2 linked regions of the Neurospora crassa OR74A genome follow. The protein of the gene in region 1 purifies or fractionates together with the protein of each later gene. This does not show direct contact. Links are inferred from orthologs where the notes say so. Each region holds a gene or a part of one and is shown on either strand. Other genes may lie near its edges.

What was found.
Region 2: the proteins of NCU03042 (region 1) and NCU00348 purify together in Saccharomyces cerevisiae (affinity purification with mass spectrometry; 4 studies listed by BioGRID). This does not show direct contact. The link is inferred for Neurospora crassa OR74A from reciprocal best matches to the Saccharomyces cerevisiae genes HSH155 and RDS3.

The regions. Positions count from the first base shown.
Region 1 is NC_026501.1:8,343,975-8,348,211, forward strand, and holds the start of NCU03042 (U2 snRNP component prp10), read right to left. Parts: upstream 2,810-4,237; 5' UTR 2,469-2,809; coding exon 1-2,468. Other genes in the region: NCU03041 (hypothetical protein), read left to right, coding at 3,053-3,703, 4,083-4,237. UniProt on the Saccharomyces cerevisiae protein: Contacts pre-mRNA on both sides of the branch site early in spliceosome assembly.
Region 2 is NC_026503.1:3,536,909-3,539,864, forward strand, and holds NCU00348 (pre-mRNA splicing factor), read right to left. Parts: upstream 1,622-2,956; 5' UTR 1,366-1,621; coding exon 1,349-1,365; intron 1,240-1,348; coding exon 966-1,239; intron 852-965; coding exon 816-851; 3' UTR 508-815; downstream 1-507. Other genes in the region: pex26 (peroxin-26 Pex26-Penicillium chrysogenum), read left to right, coding at 1-271; NCU00349 (hypothetical protein), read left to right, coding at 2,114-2,761, 2,825-2,893, 2,956-2,956. UniProt on the Saccharomyces cerevisiae protein: Required for pre-mRNA splicing. Involved in regulation of drug sensitivity and may play a role in multidrug resistance.

The DNA.
Region 1 (4,237 bases):
ACGATGTCCTCCACGCTCTGTTCCTGGAACGCATGAAGAATGCCATCGATAAGGCGTTCTTCCAGACGCTCGCCAATATCGGCAGCACCGAGAGAGGCCACAATCTTTTCAACCGTCTCCACCGTCATCTTGCGGTAGGCTTCGCTCTCGTCCTTTAGGTTGGCTACGATCCTTTCCAGAATCTCGCTGACACCAACCTTTTGGCCAATGTCGACAGTGGTCTCAACGACCTGTCGGTAGTTGCGCTTATCCAGAGCCATACGCCGTACCCAAAAGCTCTTGAAGAACTCGTCCAGCACATGCTCCTTTAGGTACCCAGCCGTTACTCCATCGGTGGCGGCGCACTGTGAAATCACCTTTAGCACAACCTTCTTCATCTCTTCATCAGGAGAGGCAAATTCTCGTAGCAGAATCTCCATAATCTGACTGGTGTAATAGTTGGCATAGTCTTCATCCATAAGCGGGATAATATAACCGACAGCCTTGAGGAAACCCGCCAGACCCTTGCCTCGCTGCTTTCGGGCACCGGTCCAAAGGGGGTTGAGAATATCATCAAAGCTCTCGATACCGTAGGGGTTAGATGCCTCGGCGAGAGCTGCGATGGCCAAACTGGTCACTGTGCGGACCTTGGTCTGTTCATCGTTCAGGTTGGGTCCGATACAGTCAACCAGCTGCTTGAGATGGGGCAAGACTGCGCAGCCCATCAAGATGGGAATCTGCTGGACGATCTTGACACCCGTGTGACGAGCCTGCCACGACTTTTTGCTTCGGCACACAGCTCGCAAGAAGGGGAGCAGAGCTGGGATACCCAGAGCCGAGGCAACGACGGCAAAGGCTCTGGCAGTAGTGTTTCTGACATATTCATCGACGTGATCAATATCTGGACGCATGACACTGATCATTGTGGCAAGACCAGCAGCCTTGCTGAGGTTCGAAATGATTTCCCGACCCTCAACACGGGCATAGTAGTCCTGATCGATAAGAAGGGGTTCGATAACGACGAGAATCTTGTGAACGTATGGTCGAACCATGTCATCGAGCTTGTACAAAATACGATCAATAACCTTGACGAGAAGATGGCGTTCCTGGTCCTCCAATGTTTTCTCCATGAGCAGAGGAAGAATTTGGTTGAAGAGGGGGCCGGCACCAAAGTTGCGAGCATTATCTGTCAATTGTCTGAGCGCAGTCTTTCTCATAGGAGGAGTACCGTTCTTGACCTTCAGCAAGAGCCTCATAATCTTTCTCTCCTTGAGCTCTTCGACACTCAAACTTTCCTCATCTGCTCCGTCGGTGAGCTTGCCGAAGTATGCCATATCTTCGGGCTTGAAGAATTGCAGGTCTCCCACACCGGGAATCTCCTTTGGCACCTGCTGGCCTGTCATCCGTCCGCTGTCGGGGTCCTGCATCATGAAGCCCGTTGTTGGGGCCGGAGCCTGCATCAGCTTGTGTGCCGGTGCTCGCACGGGGGCATACCCTGGTGGCGGCTCAAGAATCTTGTAACCTTGTTCGGGGCCTGGAAGCATCGCGTCCAGCTCTTCGTCGCTGAGTGGTGCGTAGCGACCGGCCGCATCAGCCCCGAAAGCTGGGGGCACGACAGCGGTCTGGGTAGGGTGCATCGGGGTAGCTAGGCCGACATTACCAACAGGAGTGGCAGAAGGCGCCTGGTCCCAGCGGGATCGCTTCTTGGGTTCCGCCCCTGGCGCCCCTGGAGCGGGAACAGATGGTGCTTGATCCCACCTAGACCTCTTCTTGGGCTCTGGTGCCGGGGTAGCATCATCTGTAGAGGCGACATCCCATCTCTTCTTGCGCTTCCGACCAGCCGCAGCTTCAGTAGAGCCAGCCTCCTCGTTCTCCTTGTTACCGGAATCCTGAAGGGTAGGCTGGTGCTCCTCGACCGGACCGCCCTCCTTCATCTTCTGTTCAATGGCGCGCCGTACGCGCTCTTCCTCTCGCTCAAGCTCGCGGCGTTCCATGATTTCCCGGTAACTCTCGCCTTCATCAGTGGCACCTGCTTGGCGGTTGGCAGCAAATGGGTCGGCTCGTGTAGGGGTCAGAACGCGGTCAAATCGGCGCTTCTGGTAGTCGGTCTCCCTGTCGGTGATGCGGTTGCTCTTTTCGCCCCGGCCAGCCAGGGGATCATCCTCCTCGACGCCATCGCCGCGTGCAAACTCATCGATCTGAGCTCGGGTGGCGGTGTACTGTCCTACTAGGCGGCGGCCGGAGTCGGCATCTTCCATCTCTTCGTCGTCGCCATCGGCAGCAGGCAGGGTGGTGTGGTAGCCCGCAAACTTGTCGCCGGTGTTGCGCTCATACAGATCGGTGTCCCATATTTCTCCCAGCTTGGCTTTGGTGCTGTTGTCGGATCGTTGGTTGGCAGGATCAAAGCTGCGCGAACCGCTCTTGGCGGCAGCAGCAGCATTGCGCTCCTGCTGGAGCTTCTTGATCTGCTCAAAATCCGAGTCCGACATGGTGCTGGCCGTATCCTCCTCGTGTCATGTCAGGTCGGGGTCGTCGCAAGAATGTCCAGCGCGCCGCGAGGGTGAATGATGGTATGTGGTCGGGAGGAAACGGGACGTGATGATGTGGCGCTGCCCGTGGGTGGTTGGGTGGGATCGGGTATGGTAACTGACGGGGCAGCTAAATTGACGGTGACAGTTTTGACACTTTGTCGTGTATAACTGAGGCTATCAGCAAGGGAATAGACGGTGGAGGCAGAGGGATGCAGGTCACGGCTGAAGACGGGCGCAGTGGATGCGGTACGGTGCACACGCCTTCCCTGAAATTTTGGCCAGCGACTGGTGACGGGACGTGACCGTGAGAGAGCTGACACGGGCTTGGCAAGGCTGCACCTGAAGTTTCCACTCCAAGTGGCGCTCCAGGTGCATTAGGTAAGCAGTCCAGACCTCGACGCTTTCGATCGCGGTGGGGAGCAGGGGAGCTTCCATCCATTTCCACTTAGCTCATGTGGGGAGGCAGCACTTTCACTTTCCACACCCTCAACTTCCATCCATTTCACCTCTCTCAACCTCGCTTCATCTTCGCTTCGACCAGCATGACATCCCAACCTGCAACGCCGCTACTGTATGTAGAGTTGCTTTCAAATATCCGCCAGATATCGCTGGCCATCTCACTGGGCTCTGCAAGCGATGCGTCAACACGAGTAGTGGTGGCAGCGGATGGAGAGAATGTCGAGCTCACACACCATGGACAGTCACATACACTACATCTACCCGCAAAGGTAGCCCTTGGCGGCGCCATTCTGCCAATACAAAGACCTGGAGCCTCTGCGCTCTCCTGGAGGTTACCGTTGGGTCAAGGAACATACACGGATGCATCATCAGCCGAGTCGTCCACTTGGACAGCCACCGATTTGAAGGCCGGGTCCGAAGTTGTTTGTAGACAATGCCAGGCCGTTGTTGTCAAGCGAGATGTTGTCAAGGTGTGGAAAGACCTCCCGAGTGAGAACTGGGCTGAGATGATGGAGTTTTGGCACTGTCACAAACCTGGTGACCACGATCATGACCATCACCACCACGACAAGTCAAACGGCGTTGATGCCAACGGGCAAAGCGATAGGGCAGATGACATGAGTCTTGCAGCTCGAGGATATGGCGCGAGCTCGGCCATTTCGGCGCAACAAGGTGTTGGGTTTGTTGATCTGACAACGCTGTTATTCGTCGAGCAGGACTGTTCCAACATCACGGTAAGTCCATATGTAGCATGCTCATGACTTGGTCTATTCACCGTCTCGAATGCGTCCATTTGAATCTTAGCAGTCGGGGCATCAAGAAGGTAGCCAAGTCGGCCTCGGCCCCTCAATGGCATGGATACCGATACAAATGCCCAAAATCAAGCAGACTCTGTCCCCTGCTTATGCGGGGCATTGAGTGGTCGACGAACCTGACTTCTGTGATGGGGCGCTTCCAGTCGGTGGATGACAGGCTGAACCCTCCGCATTTCGCCAGATCATTGCCAAGTCCTAAATGCTCTGGGATTAACTGGAGGAACATCCTTTCTCAACTCTTCACACCAGTAAACCTCTCCCCTCGTCAGTTAGTGCTGACCATGTTTCCGCTCTTTAGTATTCACTCTCTACCCCTGAGCATGGATCACCAGATAGGCAAGTTGTTGCTTCAGACGAAAGCAGCAACCAGGTTCGGAGCCTCAACGTGTTTTGCTCTTCCTGTCAATCCCAGCTCGGTTTTTACAATTTCCGGACAGCCGCAGTCACACTCCT
Region 2 (2,956 bases), on another chromosome or scaffold:
GACGGGTTCTTCTTCGAGTGCCGTGACCGGCCCTGGAATGGGCACGAAGGCGGCTTTGATACTGAACAATATCCGGTCGGTGTTGGATCAGGTTATGACGGCATTCCATGGGAACCCGTTCCTGCTGTACCGGACGCTGGCGTTCATTATCGGGTTCCTGCTGATGTTCAGCAAAAAGAGCGTGAGGGAGAGAATCACAAGAGTGGTGCAGCAAGGGTGGGGGAAAGTGAAGGCTACGGCTGGAATGGGGATGAAAGTTAGTTACATTTGATCCGAGCCCCTTTTTTGCTGCTTGGGTACCAGTATTATTTTGGACATTGGGAGTAAGGGAGGGAATATTCCTGCTCTGATGATAATTAGCATTGCGGCTGTTGTCGCAGCAGGTTTTGGCATGCGACAGTTTTGTTTCGAGTCTATCGTTAATGGGTCATGCATCACGGAAAATAGCTTGTTTCGTTTTCAGTTCATAGTCAAAAGAGATGACACAATCACTGCAACCTGACATGTGATGGCAAAATCTCTAAAGAGTAACCAAGGCCATGTTAGTCAACGCCTAATTAAGAGTACGTGCTTGCTTTTCAGCTTTGTCTTTCTCAACTCCTGCCCTCTTATGCTATGTATGTGAACAGAACTCCCTAACGCCCTTGATGCCAAGTCAAATGCAGCTTGAGCTTGTGACAAATTTCTTTTCTCGAAGTTATATGCCCCTTCCAACATGGTTTCCATCCGTCACAGCCAGGAGCCCATCTCATATCAGGAAACTAACCACCCCAAACAATCTTCCCACACAAGCCCATGCCCGGGCATCTCTATTGTTAAAATGTTCGATTTGTTTTCTTTTGGTAAAATAGCTATTGTGTGAAAACGTACTTCGTTAGCCTCTAATCTTTACGAGCACGCCATCTCCAAGCACTTTATCCCACGGCAAGCGGGAAGGGGGGGGGAAAAAGAAGAAGAGAACTTACATCCGTCCTGGAACTACCCAGGTTTATAATTTTGGGACACCCATCCCTGTCCTTTTCGAGTCTGGTGCACTCGAAGCAGTAGAACGCGTCCGAGATGCCCTCGCCGCCGCACACCACGCACTTGTTCTGGTAGTTGCCGAACGAGCACTCGTCGCAGATGCGCACCAGTGTCGTCGGCCGCACGTACGAGTCGCACACGGGGCACTTGCCATCGCACTTGTCGCAGAGACGGCCGATGGCGATGCCGGATTGTTTGCGGCACATTACTAGATCACTGTGGGGAACGGGAATGTTAGTATGTACATAGTCGGGAAGGTTTATCAAGAAAGGGTCAAGCAGGGCTGGGTTGGGCAAGGAGGGAAGCGAGCATAAAAGAGACGTACGGATGATGGCGAGACATGGTGGGCTAGAGATTATGATGTGTTTTCGCGACGGTGATGGTAGGCAGAAGGATTGAAATTCGGGTGAGATGGGCACGCGTGGTGCTGTCGCGTAGTATAAATTGATCGCTCAGAGAATGCGCTGTACGGTGAATCTGGTCTCGAAATGGCACTTGTGGTTGTAGCCGAGGACGATAGGGAACGTGATGCAAGGCGAAAGATGCGATCACTGGCGATGCCGATGTGGAATCGAATTTCGTCAGCCTCGGCGGCAAGTGGGTAGCGATGTGGCGTCCTCTTCTAGCGTTTTCCGCGTTTTCTTCTGTCAGCCTCGTGGAAGAGCGGATCTTCAAATGCCAAGACATGCGACTGGTGCAGGAAAGTGGGGTTAGCTTCCCAGCTGCTTCCCCGAACAGGGGGATTCGAGCGGCCTCGAACAGCGGACTACCCTGAATAATCCACTTTCGGGGAAGCTGCTCACTGTGATTCTCCCACTGGAGAAGTTCTGGACACAGCCGGTCACTAACAATTTGGCTTCCATCAATCCACCAACACCAGTTTCCAACAACGAACCGGGCGTGTTGGGAGATCAAACCGGCCATTCGACATATATGGGAGAAGTACATTCGACCTTTAACTGCAACGCACAACAAAACCTTTTTGTTACGCCGATCACGTTTTCTGCCAATCACTTCCGAGCTACAAGACCTTACAACTCCAACACCTTTGCTTCAGCTTCAACGCCAAGCTGCTGTCGATTTCCTACTCATGTCTTCGGAACCGATGATGGAAACAGAGGACTTGTCTACCCAGAAACGAAAGGCCACTTCCTCACCATCGCCAGAGGATGGCGTGGCTGCTAAGCGCACCAAACTGGAGGACGGGAACGTCCAGGGCAGGATCAGTGAGATTGTTGAAGGGGAAGCGACGCCAAAAACCGGCAGGACAGAGGAACCTGTAAAGGACTCGATGCGGGAGCCGGTCGCCACAGCGAGGGAGATCCACGCCACGTCAACTACCAAGGACAATGATCATCCAATGGAGAACGAAGCTGTGGCACGCGCCCAAGAAACCACAGTTCAAAGCCCAGTCACTACTAGTAGGAGAGAGTCCGACGAGCAAAGGGAGCAGGCCGCACCGCCGTCTCGAAAGGCACCACTTAGCCCCGAACAAACGCGGAAGAATGTTAGCCTGGAGGAGAAGAAACGCGGCAGGCGCTTGTTTGGTGGTCTCCTCAACACTCTAAGTCAGACTACACCCAACAACTCGCAGCAAAAGAGGAGAAAGGAGATTGAACGCCGCCAGCAGGAACGAGTGCAGCAGCAGAGAGTCGAGGATGATAGGCGCAGAACCGACCTGCTCGCTGAACGCAGACGCTTCCGGGATGCCAAGCAGGTGGACTTCGAAGAGCGGATGGTAGGTTGTCCTTTGACAACGGACTGTTGAACATGCTTACTAACAGACCCCTTTAACTTTTAGATGCACCGGCGGCATGAAAAGATGCTTATCTTGGCTCATAGTCTGCGAACTGTCAGCGAGCCGGTAGTTGTAAGAACTTGACCCCTGGGACAACGAACACGACTTGAATCGAGGGCTAATGATACTACTAGT